Linked DNA regions of Schizosaccharomyces pombe. The gene in region 1 interacts genetically with each later gene. Each region holds a gene or a part of one and is shown on either strand. Other genes may lie near its edges.

Evidence for each region. A genetic interaction does not mean that the proteins touch.
Region 2: mutations in mtg1 (region 1) and nup131 together harm fitness more than expected from each alone (negative genetic interaction), as found in Schizosaccharomyces pombe (one large-scale study listed by BioGRID).
Region 3: mutations in mtg1 (region 1) and cti6 together harm fitness more than expected from each alone (negative genetic interaction), as found in Schizosaccharomyces pombe (one large-scale study listed by BioGRID).

What each region holds. Positions count from the first base shown.
Region 1 is NC_003423.3:2,602,485-2,609,082, reverse strand, and holds mtg1 (GTPase Mtg1), read left to right. Parts: upstream 1-3,351; coding exon 3,352-3,970; exon of another isoform or gene 3,971-3,979; intron 3,980-4,061; coding exon 4,062-4,429; 3' UTR 4,430-4,496; downstream 4,497-6,598. Other genes in the region: mitochondrial microtubule binder Mmb1, read left to right, coding at 1-45; BTB/POZ family ubiquitin-type ligase substrate adaptor Btb2, read left to right, coding at 713-775, 978-1,769; rRNA-processing protein Mis3, read right to left, coding at 2,130-3,113; SPOM_SPBC25B2.03 (zf-C3HC4 type zinc finger), read right to left, coding at 4,856-6,370. UniProt on the Schizosaccharomyces pombe protein: Mitochondrial GTPase involved in assembly of the large ribosomal subunit. Plays a role in expression of the mitochondrial translational machinery.
Region 2 is NC_003423.3:971,162-980,708, reverse strand, and holds nup131 (nucleoporin, WD repeat Nup131), read left to right. Parts: upstream 1-3,862; 5' UTR 3,863-4,076; coding exon 4,077-5,537; intron 5,538-5,571; coding exon 5,572-5,665; intron 5,666-5,706; coding exon 5,707-6,092; exon of another isoform or gene 6,093-6,131; coding exon 6,132-6,486; exon of another isoform or gene 6,487-6,527; coding exon 6,528-7,660; 3' UTR 7,661-7,687; downstream 7,688-9,547. Other genes in the region: TRAMP complex zinc knuckle subunit Air1, read left to right, coding at 129-350, 400-501, 557-1,180; ilv1 (acetolactate synthase catalytic subunit), read right to left, coding at 1,591-3,600; serine/threonine protein kinase (CK1 family) Cki2, read left to right, coding at 8,261-8,386, 8,439-8,508, 8,576-8,724, 8,790-9,547. UniProt on the Schizosaccharomyces pombe protein: Functions as a component of the nuclear pore complex (NPC).
Region 3 is NC_003423.3:510,296-517,813, reverse strand, and holds cti6 (Rpd3L histone deacetylase complex PHD finger subunit Cti6), read right to left. Parts: upstream 3,660-7,518; 5' UTR 3,599-3,659; coding exon 3,261-3,598; intron 3,091-3,260; coding exon 2,887-3,090; intron 2,843-2,886; coding exon 2,110-2,842; 3' UTR 1,861-2,109; downstream 1-1,860. Other genes in the region: rps27 (40S ribosomal protein eS27), read right to left, coding at 1-129, 334-426, 465-470; rps29 (40S ribosomal protein uS14), read right to left, coding at 1,079-1,087, 1,160-1,259, 1,311-1,372; vacuolar amino acid transmembrane transporter Avt5, read left to right, coding at 5,348-6,610; poly(A) polymerase Cid11, read right to left, coding at 6,830-7,518. UniProt on the Schizosaccharomyces pombe protein: Could be a component of the RPD3C(L) histone deacetylase complex (HDAC).

The sequences.
Region 1 (6,598 bases):
CACTCTTCTCATTCGTCACCTTTGGACCTTAACAGAATGATATAAAAGTTGAGTGAGCTGCTGTAATTTGATGGCTTCTGTTCCATTTACACTTATTATTCTGCATAATTTATATCACATGTAGATGTTTTATCATAAGGATATTATTATTAAAAATAAGACAAACCATACGGGAAGAATTGGATGTTACGATTTGATATATTACTTTGTATTACTTAAGATCAGCTAATTAATAGCTTTTAAGCTGAAATTATGTTGCATAGGTTTATTCAGTTGAAAGCTTCACGACTGACTTGATGATAGTCGAGAAGTTTAGAGGGATGCGCTCTGTGTTAAAATTCAGCATGCAGCAACATCAGCATACAACCGATATGTAATAAATTAACATTAACAAACTGGCATTGTTTTCGTGCTCTATCAACTATCAGCAGTAAGTAATTGAAGACATTATGAAGTAAATGAGATTGCTGCATTACTAATTCATTTAGCAAAAAATTAAGTAAATAGAAGGGTTAATTTGTGCAACTTGTACGGTATATTTTGGATAGCGCAATTACGTTACGATTCATAACTGCAAGAATATCGAGCTACTCCAGTGCGCTTTCCTTAGGAAACCAAAACAATATTTTAGTACCTTTTTTTTAAATATTACTGACGAGTTTCATTCTGATTTCTTTTTATTACTCCTAACGGATGTGGCTTTAATACAATCATGTCAATGAACAGCTCAACGGAAATTTCTCAAGAGCCCTCTATAATGAAACCGGTATCTTCAGTAAGTATTTTTGCTATTTGAACTTCTGCGTACCTTGAGTCTCAGTTCTTGTATGAACTTTACTCTCAAATTAATGGTTGTTTGCGTAGTTAATTATTTTGGATTTATTGTTAAATCGTTCATGTTTTGTTTAACGATTTCCAAACAAAAAAAGTCTGAATATTTTACCTCTCCTTCAAAGAGTTTGTCTAACCCTAGCTAGATTTCAAGTTTCGTATTTAATGCAGGATTTTTACAGGGAACTTTCTCTGACACTACTCTCATTATAAAAGGTGAAACATATCATTTGCATGCCCTTTTTCTTGGCAGATCACCTGTTCTTCTACAAAAGCTTATTGAAAATAATCCCAAAGGTGATGTACATTATACCATAGAAGTAGAGACAGAGGATCCCTATGTTACTAAGGAATCCTGTTTGTTTGTGCTTTCTACATTGTATTGCGATTCCCCAAGAATCCCTGCTGAGGTGAATGTTTGTTCTGTTTTAGCGGTTAGTGATCTTCTTGGGTTAGACACGTTGGCTTTCGAAGCATCCTCACTCATAGAAAAGTCGATTAGGCCAGAAACTATGGAATCTGTGATAAGATTTCTTGACCCTAACTTTGAAGGTCTTGAGCGTCTTAAGATGGGCATGTATCCAAGATTCACTTCTGGACTTTTCAACAAGGCTATTCAGGTAATGTATAATACTCTCGTAAGCAATTGGAATACTGAATACGCTCGTTTACTCTGTAATCTTCCTTTTGAAGTTATAAAGGATTTGCTTGAAAGTGACAAGTTAACAGTGGGCGCTAGCAGTATGGCCAGGTACAAACTTGCAAATGAAATTGTTAAGATGCGAGCTTCATTTCGAAAACAAAATCACATCGAAGGAAAAGGCGATGAAAGTGTTGTATTAGCTTTTGATGAAGGAAGTCGCGGTATTCAACTTGTTCACATAGCTCCAGGTGCTGAATCAAGACGAAAAATATGGAAGGCGACTTCTGTTAGATAAAAAACTGTTATGCGTTGAGCTTCCCTTATTCAAAAAATAAAAAAAGCGAAAACACTCAAATTGATATATGAACAATAAATGTTCTTTTAATTTTAATTACTGTAATAAGAATAAAAGAATAAGCTTGAGTTGCAATTGTACTGTAACGTATTTGTTGTTTATTATATATAGCTTGAAAGCCTAAAAACTACGGAGTTTGAACAAATTAGAATTCTTGTAAATAAGTTACTACTCGCATTCCAACAATGCAACCAAGCATACCAAGAAGCATGAAGGAACGATAGCAAACTAAATATATTCTGCAAAAACAAATATTATTTTCCAATACTAAACCAATCCAATATAAACCCGGTACTCGTTCTAATCCCTTTTACGCTTTTTAGAGGACTCTTCAGGAGGAATAAAAGCCTTCATTCTTTCTTTCTCTTTCTCTTTCTTCTTTTCTTTCTGTTGTTCCTTTTTTTCCGCACGTTTTTTCCTTTCCTTTTCCTCCTTCTTCAAGAAATATTCACCACTTTCAATCTCAAGGTCAAGTTTACTAGGAGGTTGAGCAGGAGGAAAGGGAGTGTACTCTTTAGTCTCCCTGATTTTCGCAGGTTTACGACGAGCAACATTACGCTTCTTAAATTGAGGTAAAAATCTATCCCAGGATTCGTTAGCCAGAGTTGGATCTTTCGCCAACTCTCGCTTTATCATCAATTCTTTAATATGATAAATGGGATGAATATTATGCATACAATCTTCGACGATTCGACGAACTTCTTTTAAACCTTTGTATCCTCCCATAACGGCGACAGTTGTTCCTTGCACCAAAATGTAGCATTGTGTTAATAATTCCAATGCCTTCAAAGTTTGACCGTTAGTACCGATTAACCGTTGGCGACGTTTGACAAACCGTTCTTTATTGCGAAGAATATTTCCTATTTTAATAATGTCACATGCAACGCCGTCCTGCATAATCTTGACTGCCTGAGGAAATGGAACGCTTCTCGCAAGCAACTTAATTAAATCCCTAGCATCTAAAATGGAATATGGATCAAATGTTTTTCTTGTAGTTTTTACAGTCATACTTCCTTCAACCAAATCGAGAACACATGTAATGCCAAACTTATCCAATGCTCTAGTGACATGTGGCCAAACTTCACGCAAATATTTTTCTCTATACTTTGGAAACAAAGTAGCGAAGCTTGATTCTTCTAAAAATGATTCTTTACTATCATCTTTAGTAAAGGGTTCAATTTTCCAATGGTCGATATCATCAGTATCCCATGGCTTGTCCCGTCTATATCGCTTATTTTTATTCACAATAACATTATTTTCAGTAGAACTTTCTACTTCAGTCATTTTTTGATGAAATATTTAATTACTGGGACTGAATTAAAGAAGTTCTTAATTTTTAATGTGAGTTGAAGTGGGAAACTTTTTTAAACACTACCACCTAAGAATACTTGTCTCAACAAAATGACTTAACTTTTTTTATTTCACCTAAAAAGCTTATGAGATTATAACCATTAATTTTGGATAGCTTAAAGATTTTTAAAACTAAAACATTCACCAGCTATAGCGGCAAACCGATAATTCCATGGCCTTTGTAGCAAGACAAACATTTGAATATCAGATGCCTTCAACTTGGTATCCTGGTCATATGAATAAGACTCTTAAGAGATTAAAAAACTTAACATCTTCAAATGATATATTTGTTGAAGTGAGAGACGCGAGAATTCCTTTAACATCAAGAAATTACGTTATGGAAGACTTTCTTAATAAAAAGAACAGGATAATTGTCTACAACAAATGTGATTTAGCTGACACATTTCATACCAAGGCAAAAGTATCAAAACACCGAATTCAGAATCTTGCACAACAATTTCAAAATGTTGAATGTTGGTTCAAAGAAACTTCAACGCCAGAAAAATCTGCTTTTATCACTCCTTACGTTTCCAAAGCCCCCTATTTTGCTAAGGAACTCCTAAGACTAATTCGGACGTTGGTTGATCAAGCGTCCGCTAACGGGAGAGTCTATGTCTATTTTGTAGGTATGCCTAATACTGGCAAAAGTAGCATATTAAACTCTTTAAGAAATGTAGCTTTACGGAAATCGAAATCTGCTATAGTTGGGAATTATCCTGGTGTTACAAAGCGAATAAGCGAAATTGTCCGATTGTTTAATGATATGGATGTTTATATGTTGGATACTCCAGGTAAATGCTATTGAGTTTGAGTTTAATTTTCAATTTTTTACAAGTTTGAAAGGCTTTTAATATTATCGAAAGTATCTACTAACTGCTTTAGGAATTATGACACCTTCTATAACTAAGCCGGAAGATATGTTAAAGCTATCTTTAGTAGGATGTGTCAAAGAAGGAATTGTGCATCCTGTGACAGTTGTTGACTACTTGCTTTTTCATTTAAATAGAATTGACCCTAGTCTTTATTCCAAGTGGTCATTACCGACAAATGATGTGGATGAATTTTTACAAAACACTGCCTACAAAGCTCGTAAACTAACTAAGGGTGGCTTCGACGAGAATTTTGTTTCTAACTATGTAATTCAACAATATCGCATTGGGAGACTTGGTCGTTTCCAGTTGGATACTATTGATAAAAATGAATTGCTAATACGTTTACATAATGAGCAAAATAAGAAGAACGCCAAATAATTCTGCAACAATAATAAAAATCAAATAAAATTGATAACGCTAAATCAAATACTAAACCAAATAATTATGATGCATCAAGAACTAGTAAAGCTTTCATCAATAATTTAAATAATCGGAACCCAAACCCATTTCGGTTTAAACAAACCAACCAAAAATAATAGAATTACACACATACAGTAGATTCACATCGCCTCTGATTGCCTAACTACTTTCTGTAAAAATATAAGCTCACTTCCAAAACAATCAGTTTTTTTAAAAAAAAAAGGTTTTGAATATCTTTTCTAAGACAAGCATTAAACCAAAAATATATTTAAAAATTCATGACTTCTCAAATAATTTAGAAATTAGGGGCATTAAAAAAAGAAACAAGTAAACGACAACAAAAACTTCAACTGCCTTTTGACTAAAACTAATAAGTCATAACACTTAATGACCTCTTTCGAGTTCATTGCTTTTAAGCTGATGCTCATAAACAGAAGGAAATGAGCTTTGCGTTTTGTTTGTAGCCGTAACACCATCATCACTGACACTGAGAGCCGGAGAGCAAATGTGCGCATTCAAATCGACCGTTTCAGAGCGAGCGAACTGGTCAGCTAAAAAAGGGTTCGTCGAGGCAATGGGGCTATGGATAAGCTCATCTAGGTCTTGCTGCTCGATATATTCATCAACATTATGAACCCGAGTCTCGTCAGCAGCAACAGATGGCGAAGACTCTTGAAAATTGGTTTGTGTCATGGTTTGGTGAACAAACTGCGGTAGAGAATCACTATTCACTTCTTGTGTCTCGTTTTCGTTACCGGTATCAATAGATGATGATGCAGTAATAGCAGATTCAACAGAATCTGGACGATTTATTTCCTCAACTAAAGCAACGTTTGTAGTGTGAGTGGGTTGTGGTTGAACAATTTCTTGCTCATTTGATATATTGGTTGAATCTGGTTGTGATACTTCAGTTGAAGGAAGTGAATTAGTTGAGTCGTTGGATTGGGCATCCAACAAACTCTGTCTAATAGCTTCTGCAAGCATAAGTTGCTCAACATTAGCAAGATAATGTTGACGACGACTGGATAAAGTACGTCTCGGACCACCATGAGACGTGGGATCATGAGATAGATCAGTATTATGATTTGCATTTGCATTTGCCGGACCTGTTTCCAGCAAATGGGAATTAAGTAAAGTAGCATTAGCAGCTCTTCGCAAGGCACGACGGCGGGCCCTCTCTAACTTGTATTGCCAGTCCGGATGAATGAAATCAGTGCTGACAACATTTTTATCATCATGCGCGAATTTAATATGTTGATTAGGAGGCCACGGAATGTGATGTAGAGGCAGAGAAGACTTCGACAAAGTACCCATCGGAGCTATATTACTAGGTAGAGTATCTGGGTTATTATTAAATGAAAAGGGGGTTAACTTGGGGTTTGGCTTGTATATGACTCCAAACCGCTCAGTCATGCAATATGGGCATTTAGCAGGTTCCGAAATCAGATCAAACTCGTTAGGAGTAGGCTCGTTAGCATGTACAGTAGGTAAATGTGGTTCTGCTCGTCGAATTTCAACAAAGCATTCAGAACAGATGGGTTGAGCACAACAGCGAGTATAGTTAAAATTACTAGGATAATACAAAAAACAAATGGGACATTCCATAGCATTAGCATAGATAGTCGTTATAGCTGTAGTGCGATAATCAGCGGAAATACTACCAGGAGTAGAATTGGATCTATTCCGGGTGAGGAGGTGGTCAGATGAGCCTCGAGAATCACGCTTAAGGGATCTGGTATTTCCAACAGAAAGACTGCGAGATTGACGGATTGCGCAATGAAGGAGTGCCGATTTATGAGGACCAAGGGCTTTTTCGACAACTTCCACGACTTTGTCAGCAGGCCAATCTTTGCTATAGGAGTCCAATCCTTTATAGAAAGGCATAAGCCGACGTTCCAACTAAAACATGTTAGCAAAGAAAACACAAAAACTTTTCAAACAAAACTGAAATAAATTAAGATTTACTAGCATGTAACTTCGATAGTTCATTAGAAAATACAAAATCCAAAAAAAAAAATTTTACTTTTGAAAAAAATGGTTGATTAGAAACAAAAGTAAACACATTTTTTAGAAATTGCATCTTATAGTTCAAAACGTTGATTAAAAACGATTCAAACACTAATTAAC
Region 2 (9,547 bases), 1.6 Mb from region 1:
GAAGTGTTTTATGTTTTATTTGCTTTTAAACTGTTAAATTGATTGGGAATATTGTGAAGTAAACTACTGGCCGGCTGTTAAGTGTTAAAGAAAACTGTGCTTGCCATTATTACATTGCTTGTCAATATATGGACATGACTGTTTCAAACCAAAAAGCAGAAAGTGATGATGGTTCAGACATCGACGATGCGGCCTTGTTACAAAAAATTAATTCTTTACCGATTGACCAGAGTATCACAAATTCGGTGAGCTTGGAAAAGCATGATTTTCAAGGAAGTGATGACCATGACTCCTCTACGGATCTTTCCGATAGTACTTTGGAAGATGTGGAAGGAAGTGAATGGGCAGACGTATGGATTGAAAAGTTTTTTTTTAATACTTTTTACTAATAAAATTTAGGTGAGCAGGGGTAGATACTTCGGGTCAGATCCCTCAGAAAGTATAGTTTGCCATAATTGTAAAGGGAATGGTCACATATCTAAAGATTGTCCTCATGTTCTGGTATGCATTTTGATCGGACATTGTTTTTTTAATAGTGTTACTAACTGTATTACAGTGTACGACTTGTGGAGCAATTGATGATCATATTTCCGTAAGATGCCCCTGGACTAAGAAGTGCATGAATTGTGGACTACTGGGTCATATAGCTGCGCGATGTTCGGAGCCGCGAAAAAGAGGACCTAGAGTTTGTCGGACTTGTCATACCGATACTCATACTAGTTCGACGTGTCCTTTAATTTGGAGGTATTATGTCGAAAAAGAACATCCTGTTCGCATTGATGTTTCTGAGGTTCGAAAGTTTTGTTATAATTGTGCATCTGATGAACATTTTGGAGACGACTGTACTCTTCCATCTAGATCAAATTATCCTGAAAGCACTGCATTTTGTGAAGCGAACTGTCCTTCTGGAAATGATGCATCTAACAAGGAGTTTTTTGAAACCCGTCGTAAAGAGTTTCAATTGGAGAGGCGAGAGCAGAATCGAAATCAAAAATCGTCGAAACAACGGCCTTTTCACAAACCAGGAAATTCTCTAGCATCTAGGCTGGGATCTAAGCCAAAAAGCTTTAAAAGAAAACATAGCCCACCTTCTGAGGAGAATGGCAATTTATCCTTTCATTCTTCAGATGGAAGAAAATTTACCAAAACTTCAAAAAAAAATCGTAAACGAAAATGGTAATTCATGTGCTGGTATTATTCATCGCATGGTGTATCGCTCTGCTCACATTGCATTGCACTCATTGATAATACTATCTTACTAAAATTTATTGGCAAAATCTAAAATATATGTACATTAATTTTATACACTCTCATTTGCTATGTTCGCAAAATTTGTAATGTTATTGACCTCCATCATCAAAATTAAATACAAGCTATGATAACGGAGTAAACCATAGTTAGAAAGCAAAACAAAAAAAAACAACCAAAATCGAAGATAACAAGGCAAAACAAACAAATTTGCTTTAGGGTAAATAATGACAAACCGCCCACCAGAGTCTAAAAGAATGTGACACGATAATTAACGCAAGTTTAAATAAGTGTTACATCTGACTCTTACAAAATAGCTGTTTTTAAATTAATCAAAAAAATTTATGAAAGGCTTTCATGCAAAATAAATTGGTGAAGAGCCTTACCACCAGGGACAAATGGATACACATGTTCCTTTTGGGCAACCAAAACTTCCATAAGCACAGGACCTTTAGTTGACAAAAACTCCTTCATTTTTTTAGCCAAATCTTCTCTCTTTTCTACACGTAGTGCTTTGATGCCCATAGCGTCAGCCAACTTAACGAAGTTGGGATTCTTTTGATGAGTATGAGAATAGCGTTTCTCATAAAACAAGTTTTGCCATTGAGTGACCATGCCTTGCTCTTCATTATTTAGGATAAGAATTTTAACTGGGATATCAAATTGACGGACGGTAGCAAGTTCCATACCAGTCATTGAAAATGAAGCATCACCATCAATATCTATAACAATATCTTTAGGTGCAGCAACGCTAGCACCTATGGCAGCTGGGAGACCAAATCCCATAGTACCGAGACCACCGGAGGTTACCAAAGAACTAGGTTTTGTCCAACGATAGAATGTAGCGGCCCACATTTGATGTGCACCGACACCGGTGGTAATAGTGACTTTGTCCTTTATGTCAGAAGTTTGTTTGTCAAGTTCTTGAATGACTTCTTGAGGCTTTACCAATTCACCAGGAGCGCTACGAGTGAAAGTGAAAGGGAAGCGTTCCTTCCATGTTTGAATTTGAGATAACCAGTCAAATCGGGAAGGAATTTTAATATTTTTAGTAGCAGAATCTAAAAGCTTTAGAGATTCGTATACATCGCCCTCTATTGCTTCAGTAGGTTGTACGACCTTACCGATATTTTTGGGTGAAATATCAAAGTGAATAATACCGCCACGCTCTTCGGCAGCAGCAAGACGTGCTTGAGGAGCAAACAAACTTACGTTACCGGTGACACGGTCGTCAAAGCGAACACCAAGAGCAAGGATAAGATCGGCTTCCTGCATGGCCATATTAGCGTATCCACTACCATGCATACCGAGCATATGCAAACTAAGGTCAGAACGTTCATCTACAGCACCAAGTCCAAGCAAAGAAGTAGTAACAGGAATTTGCAGCCTTTCGCTAAACTTGCGTAACAAAGTGGGGCATTCGGGATTAGCTAAAACACCATGCCCACAGAAAATCACAGGCTTCTTGGCTAATTTTAGTAAATTGGCAACACGATCGATCTTGGCAGTAACGTTCTTGGAGCCCTCTTCTAAGACTTCCTTCATTCTGCGATTCATTGATGGTACAGAAGACAGTATAGGAATGGGCTCCTTCAAAACGCTAGCAGTGACATCTTTGGGAAGGTCAACCAATACAGGGCCAGGGCGTCCAGAAGTAGCTATCTCAAAAGCTTCGTCTATACGACGGGGAAGATCAGCAACATCTTTGACCATTACATTCCATTTAGTACATGAACGAGAAATACCAACCATGTCAGCTTCTTGAAATGCATCACTACCAATTGCGCTGGTTGCTACTTGACCAGAGAATACAACTAGGGGAGTACCGTCGGCCAATGCATCAGCAATCGGGGTAATCACATTCGTAGCACCGGGTCCAGAAGTAACCAATACAACGCCGGGTTTTTTAGTAACGCGGGAATAAGCTTGGGCTGCATGTCCAGCAGCTTGCTCGTGTCTTGGCAAGATAAATTCAAAATGAGGAGATCTATAAATTGCATCGAAGACAGGCAAGATAGCACCACCTGGATAACCAAATACATGCTTAACATTATGCTTGAGCATCATATCATGGAAAATTTCACCCCCAGTCTTTCCAACAAACGAGCTGTCATATTTTATAGGACTAGCCGTAGTCACTGTAGAGGTGCTTTTGGTCGAATTTGCCCGAACGACACCGAATGCATTTTTTAATTTTTTAATTCTCAAATTATTACTAAAGCCGGTGCCATACCTCCGCACAGCTGAGCAACTATTTAAATTTAAAAATCTCTTTTGAAGGGCAATTTCTCGTCCATAAGACGAGAAAGCCGCCCTCGTATGCAATCTTCTAAGGGGAGCCAGCACAGTCATTATAAATAACTTTTAACCCTCAATTCCTTTCTAGAAAGAGCTATCTTTCAAGTTGCAAAAGATCGGTATGCTGAGCGGTATGAGAAGTGAGCAGGTTCATTTTTGCCTAAAAACATTGGTTGTTCACCACCACAAAAAAGATCAGATTTGTTAACGATAAGTACTGTACCCCGGAGATTAAATATACCGATGCATAATACTATACCCTTTGAAGTCGTGTTATTATTCTTTAAAAAGTTCAGATGATGTAGGAATACAATTTATCTATTTATCCATGTCTCCTTAATTTTTTAAACATTAGTAAATGCTGGAAAACGTCAAATAAATTTTTCTTGATCCTAAATTATAAGTTTCCTATCGATTCAGCTTAGAAAATCGTCAGAATTATCTTTGAGCATAATCTGTTTAACACGTAAGAGATCTTAGATACTTTCGCTTTTTTAAACATTAGTGAGCCTCTTATTAGAGGAATTGCAATGTTTATTGTACATCGACGGTTTTTTCAAAATGAAAAAGCTTTTACGCCTGCAGGAAAACATGAAAAAGTTGCCGACGGAAACAAACATGAGACATTAGCTACTTCAGAATACCCGAAAGTCTGTGCATCAAATGACTTGTACAAAATACTCCAAATATCTGCTCCTAAGGTTGGCAATTTTACAATCCATGATGCGCCAGTTGTTGGACTAATTGACTCTATTTTGGAATATTATTTGTATATTAGTGTCAAAGTTCGAAAGGCATGGATTGCTGGTTATGGAAGTCAGCCCCAAAACTTAATATGCTTTGATTGGGAACGTTTTACGGGTATTCTAGATCAGCAGAGTCTAAATAGCCCACCGTTAGCTGGATTTGTTAAGCCAGATCCAACATCAGCAGAGCCTGGCTTTTTACTTTTGTGGCCTGCTTCGGGCGACCTTTTCTACTGGGAAAGAACTTCTTTGATGAACGTTGAGGTTTCTGCTCCCGAATTTCCTGGTTTTCTTCATTACAGGATTCAACTAAAACGATATGAAAGCTGTAAAAATTTGGTTAGTGCTGAGCCTGCTGGCTTTTTCCTTACTCTGAGTTCAGGTCGGTTGCTTCATCTGAATTTAAAAGATAGCGATGGCAATTCCTCTATTCAGGTTCGAATCCTATTTCCTGGATTGCACATCCCCAACTGCTTGCTGTCGTTATACAACAGTATCTTTGCATTTACTTCAGGAAGAGTTATTCCAATACGTTGTGGTTCAATAAAAGGACCTGGTGAGAGATTAGTTTATTCTATGCATTCTGGAAGCACATTGCGAATTTGGGAAATATTCGGGACTGGTGATCACCACTTGTTACGTGGTTTTGACATTTATGATATAATTTTAGATAGTATTCAGGAATCCTTTTCCTACGTAAATCGATTTCTAATCCTTGATTTTTCTGTTTCAACCTCGGATCCTTATACGTTAGCTTGTTTGGTTTCCTGGCGTGATAATGCTTCATTATTCAATTATGCTGCAATCATTATTTCTTTCAACCATCAGATGATACCTCATGTTTCACAATTCTGCCATGTACGCTCATATCTTTCTGCAATTCTTCCATCAGTGTGTCGAATATTTTTACCAAGTCCAGGTACAGTTGTTTTTTGCGTCTTCGATGTCACTTTTGCTATGTTTCATAAAGTGCGAGGGAAAGAAGGCACTTTTTATGTCGAAGAAAACCTGGTTGTGAACAACCTAACTTCCAAATCTCGGGTTTTGGATTTTGGCATGGAAGATGCGATATATGAAAAATCTACGCACACCTTACTAAAAACTCCAGCATTGATCTTGTTAACAGAAGGGCATGGTATAATCCGAATTGAATCTTCTGCTAGCTACCTGAAAACCAGCTTTAGTGCAACCACCTATTTACGAAGTCGTCTCTCCCAGTTTGCATCGCAAAGCCCTTTGTTCCGTGTAAGTTGTTAATTCTTTCGTATCTAACATATAGGAACAATTTTTGTTAAATTTTGACTTTACATACAACCTCTCTGAAAGCGAAGTCTATAATACAGTCTTTAATCTTTGTGATGAACTTTATACGAGTAAGATAATTTTTTCATGATATATTACTAATTGCAATCAGCGCCATGTAAAAAAAATATGTCTGTATTAGAAACACTACATTCTCAGCAACGTGACTTGATGGAAATAGTTCTTGTTGCCTTCAAATACCTACATTTATCTCCTTCTAATAGACTTCAATTATGGCTAAAAGTTGCCTATTGCAGTGCTTTGGCAGACCTATATGAATTATTGATGTGTAATGAAAAAATGTCTAACTTGCTTCGACGAGTATTGAAAATAATGTCTTCAAATGATAATATTGATGAACTTTTTTTGAAAAAGTGCCTGAATATAAATTTGTTATTACAGCATTTAAGCTCGGAATATTCTCAAATATCTGGCCAAGATGCTAGCAACGCACAAAAAAGAATTGAAGTAATAGTAAATGTTAATAACGTTTATGGGGTATGTTTCTTATAAAATAACGAGGTTTACTAATATTAGACTATCTTTGGAAATGAGCTTGCTTATAGGCAAGAAAAAATATCAAAATTTACTGATCCATCCTCTGTGATTAGAAGCGACCTTTGGACAGTTGAAGTTGATCACTTAGATTTACTACGAAAACAGATCGAAGATTCGATATCATTGCATCGCGATGTACGTGACTCGAAAGATGCACACATATTAAAAGTCAGTAACAAGCTTCGGAAGCAGATTTTGCATCTGGTGGAACAAAATTGCCTTTTGATCTTTGATTTGCACAATGGAACAGATGATACCATAGTAAAATCGCATAATTTTCAAAAATTTGAAGAAGAATTTGGCAATTCACGAAAAGAATGGTTACAATATTTAGGTAAGCTGTTTCTCACTTTCTTGTTTCCGCTAACAAAGAAGCTTCTGTCGGATATTTGGAAAAGGCAATCGACTTGGCGGAAAAAGTTAAAGACTTTCAGACAATGGTAATTTTGCTGGATTGTCTAGATCCAAAGGATCCTACCATTAAGCTTCAAAAGCAAAAAGCATGCTTAAATAAATACAAAGAAGAATTCGCAGATGTAATTTTTTTTTATTTGGTTGATACAGAGCAGTATGCGTCTTTGCTTCATGATTTCTTGGAGTATCAATCACTTTTAATATCTTTTTTTGAAGCCAATGATTTATTGAATCTTTTGTGGATATTTGAAGCTCAAAATGGAAATTATGGACGAGCCTCCGAAATTCTTTTCCGTGATTGTGAACCAGAAGAAAACAGGATTATCGGTAAAATTTCGCAGTTAGCTCTAGCAAAGCTCTACTCATGGACTAATAGAATTGAAGGTGAAAATATCATATTGTCAAATGAGACTGAGGTGATTGAAAATCATTTAGCCATTTTGCTTATTCAAGAGCAATATGCTGAAATGCTTTCATCACTTGTGGATATTACAGAAGACGAGGGAGAAGCTGTCGAAGCAATAGTAACTTCCAATTGTGTAAATCTATCAGAAAACTCTATCAGAGCCTGGCTCGTGTCTAGTGCTGTTGAGCGATTAATTCAAAACGAATACACTACGCTTTGTGAGATGGTAGATTTCTTTTCTTCTTTTTCATTACGGGAATGTTCATTCAAAGAAGTTGATTTGGCCTTAGAGTTATTAGAAAGAGCTACAATCACTAAGGACGTGTATTTTTACTTAAAAGATCTCGTATATCGCCGTTTTCTATTACAGGTGAACTGGGCAGAAATCATCGATGCGCATGAAGATTTAGAATCTTCATTTTTTCCAATGGTAAAGGAAATTATGTTAGAATCAGACTTTTTAATATGGTTACAACATATGGAACACAATATTCACGACGAAAGTAAACATTACTTGAAATCGGAAAAAAATTTTTTGCAAAGTGTATATTCTTCACTTTCTGAGTCGCAAGTGGAAGATTATCAAATGGAGCTTTTTCGTGAAAAGCAAATTTTCTCAGTACTATGTAAAGATAGAGAGTTATACATTCTGATTCCGAAACTTCTGGACGTAGCAACAAAACAATGAAATGAAATTTTGCTATATATTACTTTACATTTCCTCAGTAATCGATAAACACCTGTTTAAACCTAGTACTACTTATGTTTGTATAATCTATCGTATAGCCTCAGCTCCGACAACTCCGTTTTTACGATGGTAGATGCTAGATAATCACTGGTTAGAATATTTACGGCTTAAAATAATTAAATTTTTTTATTATAGATTCTTGATTTATTATGATGATTGCGCCTTCGGGGCTTTTTCCCTGTCCTGGATAGCCTCACCCTTACGTTGGAAATTAAGCTAAGGCCTAGTGTGTTGCATCCAAGTACACCTTACAACTAACGTCCACTAAAACACTCAAACCACATAATCATTTGTTAGTCGAAAGAAAGCCTGTAACTTCTATTAAATTATAGTAATTGGTTTTCTAAATTTTGTTGTTTTTGGTCGGCTACTGAATCGCAATTGGACTTCAATCTCTGTGGTGAATGCAGTGAAAACAAACTGAGATTTGTGTGGCATTTGTTAGTGAGGCTACAAATTGACTACATAAAAACTGCATAGTCCTTGCAATAAAAAAAATTTTATCTGTTCGGTCAATTCCTTGTGACAGGGTTATTTATCATGAATTCCCAAACGAGCGTAGTAGGGGTTCACTATCGCGTGGGTCGTAAAATAGGTGAGGGATCGTTTGGTGTTATTTTCGATGGGATGAATCTTTTGAATAACCAACTTATTGCTATAAAATTTGTATGTTCTTTGTTAGGATGAGTATATGGACAATACTAACAATGGACGTTAGGAACCCAAAAAGTCGGAGGCACCTCAGCTCCGTGATGAATACAGAACTTATAAATTACTAGTTGGAAATGGTATGTTTTTATTTTGCTACCCAAAACATATGGTCAAGACTTTGGTACTAACCGTATTTGCAAATAGCTGGCATTCCTAATGTTTACTATTTCGGGCAGGAAGGACTACATAATATCCTTGTTATTGATTTACTGGGACCTAGTTTAGAGGACCTATTTGAATGGTGCGGTCGTCGATTCAGTGTCAAAACGGTGGCTATGACGGCGAAACAGATGGTAAGTTTCCTAAGTTGTTCCTATAAGGTTTTCAATTTGTTTAAATTTTCTCTGACATTTCAAAGCTTTCCAGAGTTCAGACGATTCATGAAAAAAACCTTGTTTATAGAGACATCAAACCCGATAATTTCCTAATAGGCCGACCTTCCTCTCGAAATGCAAACATGGTATATATGGTTGATTTTGGTATGGCCAAATATTACCGTGATCCCAAAACCAAGCAACATATACCATATAGTGAACGTAAAAGCCTCTCGGGGACTGCGAGATATATGAGTATAAACACGCATCTTGGACGTGAACAATCCCGTCGCGATGACTTAGAATCGTTGGGACACGTCTTTATGTATTTTTTGAGGGGAAGTTTACCTTGGCAAGGATTGAAAGCTGCCAACAATAAGCACAAATACGAAAAGATTAGTGAAAAGAAGCAATCTACCTCCATTAGTGAGCTTTGTGCTGGATTTCCTAATGAATTCAGTAAATACATGACTTATGTGCGTTCGTTAGAATTTGATGAAGAACCGGATTATGCGTTTTTACAAGAGTTATTTGATGATGTACTTCGAGCAAATGGTGATACGAATGATGGGGTTTATGATTGGATGTTATTGAATGACGGTAAAGGTTGGGAGTCAAGCTCTTCTCATTTTTCTGTTGTTGCTATGAAGCGACGAAAGAATTACCTTGGCTTAAATGTTGTTCAAAATGATGATTCCAGAAAAAAGAACAGTACTTTGCAAACACAGAACATGCGATTTAAATCCTCATATGGGGTGAGAGGTCCTAGAAATTACTCATCGTTCGATGCGTTGCCGAGCAA
Region 3 (7,518 bases), 2.1 Mb from region 1:
TCCCTCCATAAGACGAGCCTTACCACCAGTAGGTTGGCAAAGGACAGAGGCACAAGAACCGCAAATAACAACGGTTTGAGCATGAGAGAAAACTGTGGTGATGTTGAAGCATCCAGGGCACTTGACATCCTAAAAAAATAGTTAGCAATGAGTCTTTGAGTTCAAACCATTCTAATTTTTCCCTATTGCCACCATGTTGCCACTTTCAACAAATTGAAAAATATTAACAGTTTATTCTCGAAAGTACAGAATTAGAATAAGGTTTCATTCTTTTAAACATTTGGCATTTGGAAAGCAAACTATTGTTGGAGAAAAATTTTCAAGAAAACTTACCATGAAGAAACTGCGAGGGCCTTGAACAAGCTGCTTCAGCTTGTGCTTGCGCATCTCGGATTCATGACTGGGATTTAAGAGATCAACTGCCAACTACTTTGTTAGTGTTTTTCTGATGATTTATAACATACCACCATCTTGTTAGTGAATTGCTCGGGGTAGAAGCTGAGATGTGTGTGCAGGGTTTCTTGTCTATCTTCAAAAAGCAGTCACACCAAAGCTTTTGTTGTTACTCGTAAATAGTGCAGCACTTTAAAGTAACGTTATGCCATTAAAATTACAAATGCAAGGAAAATATATTTTATTTAGGGAATGAAAGGTTGTAGATTAGCATGCCCTTGTACTCATTTGACACATTTTATATTAATTTAGTTTTTTTTAGCATTTCAGGCTTGTGCAACAATTCTATGCTTTACTCCCCTCTTTATATTCTTGGTGCTTCAGCACCGCCCAAATAAACATTTCAGCCAGAAAACACTTTAATTACCAGTAATCACACGCACAATCAGCTACAAATTAATTATGCGAATAACAATTCGCAATCCACAATCATATGAAAATAAATACACTGCTTTCATACCAAGTTACGCTTTTTTTACATGCTCAAATTGCAACTGTTTACAAATTCAATAGCTACTTACAATGCTCAACCTTACAAATTCAAAATATTTTATAATGCCAAAAGCATCACAAAATGATATTTCACACAAATCGGTTTTGATTCAGTATATGAATAGCCTCATGTTTAACGGTACTAAACTAGTTAATATGCTGTCGGAAACAGATGTTGCAAACTTAAAAGAAAGTTACAGCAAAATTCTCTTACCTTAACGAAACCAATGTCGTTGGCGTACTCACGGAAACTTTGACGAGAGATGTTCAAACCGTACTTGCGGATTAAACCGAGACGACGACCAGTGTGAGCGCTAAATTATGAATTAATACATCACTCGTGTATAAAAAAGATGCTTGCTTACCATTGTCTGCTGCCCTTTCCGTACTTGCGAGGGTGAGAGAACCAAACGTTTTCGTGGGCCATTTTGGTGTGAAGGTAGAGATTGTTTCAAGCGTTTCTTCTACTAGACGAAAGTCGTGACTGCTCTTCTAGGCATAGGGTAGGGCTAATATAGAGAAATACAATGCATTTCGTTATTTGACATTGTGCTCAACAATGTAAATAAAGTATGTATAGTACTATTTTTTAAGTAGAAATTGTTTTCATTAGACACTTAGTTAAAATATTTGTTCAATTGATGGAATAATCAGGATTTATTTTTTTCCTCTCCAGTACCAAGCCTTATATAACATTATATTGTAGCTGGTTTAATAGGCACTTAATGAAAGATGGATTTTCCTTCAGAAAGTAGTTATTGTGGTGTTTTCTACGTTTGATTTTTTTTTTTTTTTTTAGTTTCAAAACCTCTTGTATTTATTAAATTAGTGAGTACTTTTGAACGTTTTTACTCATTCACTTGGAAATCGGTGTACTCGAAAAACATAGCTCATTTCAAAAAATATACAAAAGTTTAACCTGTAAATAATAATAAATTATATTTCTTCAATTAACCAAACAAAAATTATATCCCTCTCATCAAAGGAACTCTAAATCTTTATCAAAATATCTATCATAAATCAACAAAGGAAACCATTAGATCATAAAAAAGTAAAAATATATGTATGTTGACATGTTCAATTGAACACATCTTTCTCCTTTTTTCTTCCTTTGCTTCTTTTTTTTAATATTACTGATGTAAATTCACACAGTACACAGCATCATCAAGTTCGACTGAATCGTTGTTCCCAATGCAATAAATCCCTGGTGAGATTGTCTACCATCCTAAGAGTTTCCTTCTCTTCTTCTGGGCCTTCTTTCGATGACTTTGTGGATGATTGATTACCAGCAGACTGAGCTGCCATTTCAACTTGAATATGTCCAATATACTCTAGCATAGAGGCAACTCTTCGCCGCATCTCAGTCATAGTGATTCTTGAGTGCAATCCCTTAGGCTTGGTTATGGTCTCTACGAACGTTCCATCCGGATGTAATTGAGGAATTCGGTGATTATCGTTCGAACTAGATTTTCCTCTTCTTCCTCCCACCTTTCTTGTTTTTGAAGGCTTCGGTGCGACAGCTGCTGGAAGATCCGCTTTGTCTTCTGCCGCTGCTTCACGTTTAGCTTTTCGCGTTGACCGAGTAGTGGTCGAAATAGAAGTAATGGTAGATTGTTGTGAGCTTTGAGGGGATGCTTCTCCAGACTCCTCTTTTACTGAGTGCTTTTCTTCATCAGCAATCTCCTCAACCGTATCTACAGTTTCTTCTTCAGGGGCATCCGTTTCAGCGACATTAGTAGTAGAGGTTTCTTTATTCTCTTCGTTTTCGTCCTTCGACTCCTTACTATCTTCTAAAATTTCATCATTCTCTTCTTCAATTTTTTGTTTTAAATTTATTTCGGTTCCTTGCGATTCATCTTGGGGAGCTGGTGGAGAAAGAGACTTCGATGAAGTTCGCCTAAAAACAGTTAGTATATCATCTATGAATATCAATGACCATACCCTCTAGATCTCCTCGGTATTAGTGACTTTTCCTTAGCAATTGCAAGATACTCTTCATAATCAAGAGCGGCGTCTCTGGAATTCATAGTAAGACGTTGCTTAGACGACTTTTTGGTTGCCGGAGATGGGGGAGTAGATGAAGATTCTTCTGTTTGACTGGCTTCTATAGGTTTTCCATTTCCAAGATACTTTGATTGTTTAGCCCTGCGGCGAAGTTAGTAACAATAGTTGAAAAACCCAATTTTTTTAATTGCTAGAAGAGAAAAAAGAATAAAATGGAGATATTTGGAAACCACTGCAATTAGTTTAAAGCATTAGGTATTCAGTGGTAAATCCATTTTAAATCCTTAAGCTCATCTGTTATCAACACTTACCCTCTGCCCCTTTGATATACTTTATGGAATTCTGGATGGCATATTTCGCAATAATATACCTCGGGAACTTCTGATTCATCAGCAAATCCCACACAGTTCCCATGTTGCCAAACTGAGCATTGATCGCACTGAATATACAGCCCCCCGTCACTAGCTTCATCGTCGGATTCGACAATTCCACAAACACAGCGGGTTACTTCTCCAGTACTCGATGTTTCATTCTCTTCATTATCGGAAACTGAGCCATTAGGCGTGTGGGGTGTGTCTACGGGAGATTTCTGAATTTTTTCAGACTCTTCCTCTTTTTCTTCATTAGCGGGAGTTGAATTACTCGGCATAATGTATAATAATCGTTTTATTAAAAAATTGTGCTGTGCGCTTGGGGAATGGTGAAGGATTGGAAGATAGGTAATACATTTACCAACTACAACATCAATGAAATATATCGCGAATTGCTGAAACTTCACGCTTTAAGTAATTAATGTATGGGAAATTTGTTTTTTTATATTCATTTAGTGATTGAATGTTTTTGGTCAAAGTCGTAATGGCACTTTGGTAATAGTTAAATAGTTGAATGGCAAAAACGTTGGATTCTAGGATTCAAGCCCAGAGGGAGACTGCCAATGCATTGAAATGATAGTTAATTAAAAAAAATTGATAAAAACCCAATTATCTTTGTAAACATAAACAGTTTAACACCTTTCATTTTTTTATAGGCCCATTTTGCCCGTTGATTTGCCCTTGACCATCGGAGAACCTGGTTTGTCTGGGAATGGTTATTTAAGTCTCCTAAAGCTTTAGCACTGTTGAATTAGATTAAGAAACTTATATGTTCATCTCAAACTTCATATAATTAAACGTATGGTTTGTTTGACCCACTTTTTATGCTATCTCTCTGTACTAATTATTATTGAAATGAGAATTGACTTGATTTGGGAATGCATATTATTATAAGCTGTATTATGAAGGTTGTGAAATCATTTCTGTAAGGTGCTGCTGCTTTTATAAATTAAAAGAGGTTTTGTAATATCGACATGATATTTGGTATTATCTCCATGTATTCGCATTTTACGATGTTCCTGCAATCTTTAGAATGGCGTATGTGCATATTTTGAAACTAAAAAACATCTTACATTTTAAAAAAGGCTTTTTCCTCGCAATGTCAGAAAAGCAACTGCTACTCGGTTCACCGGGAATTCATGAACAAAACAATGAAATTTGATTGTATTTTTCTTCGATACTATATTCAACTGACTAGATACTTATGAAATAAAATAAAAAACTATTTATATCCTTGTGATCAACGTTTGACAGTGAGAAATTGTTATAATTCTAAATTTTCTCTTTTTATTGAAATTTATTCGATGAAAAAATCAATTGTATGCTCTTCCACCACTTCGAATGCTCTATTGATATAAATATATGTCTATGAAAAATTCGTTTTATTTCTACAGAATTTACAAAATTCTCTAATTTACTGCTAATACTGTGTTCAAGTTGGTAAAATATTCGTGTGCCACAAATATCTATTTTGGTATAAATTTCTCATGTCACTCATTAATTGAGATGATAGTGATAAATATTAACAATTTTTTTAGTAATAGTAAGAAAAGAAATAATATTTCATTGCTTTTATATCTGCTGGCAAACCAGAGTAGAGCGATATCGCATCTGTATATCGTAATTTCATCTCTTTTAACAACCAAGAACGAGCATTCCACTCGTACAGCTGGGAAGGTGCTTTAATACATCGTGTACTATAATTTTTCCTATTATTTATCGGGCTTCTGAATAGATTCTACAATTTAATTTATCGAGCTGGTCTCTTTTTGTCTGCTGATTTCTATTCTACGATTTCTCAGGCGTTTTTTATTCCACGTTCTATTATTTGTTTAGAACCATTTTTTTTATATTGCATAGTTCTTATTTTCTTTTAAAATAACTTTCTTGAACGATTCTTCCAAAAAATCGATCAGTTTGCATACTCATACGCTTAGTACTTAATTGTAATTCGTAAAGTTGGTTCCTAAAAACACCAATTTTATAGCTTCCTAGATTTTTTCTCTATTCCTAGTTTGGGTTAATTTATGTCTGGGTATAGTCCTTTGTCTTCTGGACCAGCAGACGTCCATATTGGAAAAGCTGGGTTCTTTTCTTCGGTTATCAACCTTGCCAATACTATTTTGGGAGCTGGAATTCTTTCCTTACCAAATGCGTTTACCAAGACTGGTCTGTTGTTTGGGTGTTTGACCATCGTCTTTAGTGCATTCGCTTCTTTTTTAGGATTATATTTTGTTTCCCAATGCGCCGCACGACTCCCGAGGGGAAAGGCTTCATTTGCTGCTGTTGCCAAGCACACCTTTCCCTCTTTGGCTGTTGTCTTTGACGCTTCTATTGCTGTTAAATGCTTCGGTGTAGCGGTAAGCTATTTGGTTATTGTAGGCGATTTAATGCCCCAAATTGCTCCATCACTTGGTCTCTCTTCTCCAATGTTCCTTAGGCGCCAAACATGGATTGTCTTTGCGCTTTTCGTGCTTACTCCACTCTCGTTTCTTAAGAGGTTGGATTCTTTACGGCATACGTCTGTGATCAGCCTTATAGCTCTTTGTTACCTTGTGTTTATTGTTTTGTATCATTTTATCATCGGGGATACTGTAAAAGGAGAAATCCGCTACTTTGTTCCTGAGTCTGGCTTTGGCTATTTATCTGTTTTGCCCGTTTTCGTTTTCGGTTTCACTTGCCATCAAAATGCTTTCAGTGTAATAAATGAGGTCAGAAATTTCTCTCAAGGGTTCGTCAATTTTACTATGTTTACTGCTATTATTTCTTCTACGCTTTTGTACTTGCTTGTGGCTATTACGGGATATCTTTCATTTGGATCTCTGGCATCAGGTAATATTATCGCAATGTACGATAATACCAGTATTTGGATTATTGGTGGAAAGCTCGCTATTGTTGTACTAGTCCTTTTTAGTTATCCCCTTCAATGCCATCCATGCAGAAACTCTGTTTACCAAGCTATACGTCGCTCTTATTCTGCTCATGATATGAGTGATGGTTATCATGCCGTAATAACATTATGCATATTGTTATTTACTCACTCTCTGGCTCTTTTGCTGTCTTCTCTTGAAATGGTCTTAGCTTTTGTTGGAAGTACCGGTAGTACTTTTATTTCATTTATTCTTCCTGGATCTTTGTATTATTTTTTCTCTCATAAAGTTGCCTCCCCAGGTAATAGCAGCCCTCTACAGTTACGAATTTCCAGGGCCTTCGCTGCTGGACTGGCTATTTATGGCACAGTTGTTATGATTTTGTGCTTAAATATTAATATTGCAAAGTTATCTCATTAATTTTACTTTGGCAATCTTTTTCCAATTTATTTATTTATTTCTTAATTATGCGTTTAGCACTTCGCTCGAAAATATTATTCAAATTCCATTAAATACTAAACGCTATTTCTCTTTAATTTTTTTTTTCTTTTTCTTGTTCATAATTACTTGTTCGTTATGTCTTAACCATTAGGAAACATTCTCGGATTTTGCTTTTACTTCCTTGGTGCATTGCTTGAATTAATTTCCGGACGCAGGATTTGATGCATCTTCAGATGGGTACCATACTAACCAGGATTGACATGGAATATAGTGCCATGGAGGAGCTGAACCTTGTGTCAACGAGGTCTGGCCCTGGAAGTCCGAATCTCTGTTCGCTTTGTTTTCATAGCTTTGATGGTTACTTTCATCCGGTATGTAGTAGAGAAAGTTCATATTTCCTCCATCGGATAGGGTAATTTGAGGAGGATAATAAGGTTTTGGATATGCAGCAGCTTCAGGTAAAACAGTATGATTGCAACCAAATGATTCATAGGCGGTATTGAAAGGAGTATTCGTGTTCCCATAATTTGCCTCATTGGTAATATCTAGGAATTGATATTCTTCGCATATTTTACACAACCTTTCGCATGCATTATTCTCACTCATAAGTCGAAATGCCCGCTGAAATTCACTCTGAAGTCCTTTGACGCTAGGATTGTCAGCAGTATTTGCAAGGTTTCGAGCAGTATTGAAAGGCTCTTCGACACATAAAGAATTGTTCACCTCCATGGCCCAACCTTTTTCCTGTTTGTTCAGTACAGTTCCCGATCTCACAGATACCACTGAGTCCAGATAATTAAACGAAAATCCATAGTAGTAAAAAAAATCTATTAAAAGTCTCCCTAAAGATGTTTTGTTGAGAGTTGCTTTCTCCTTGAACCCGACAA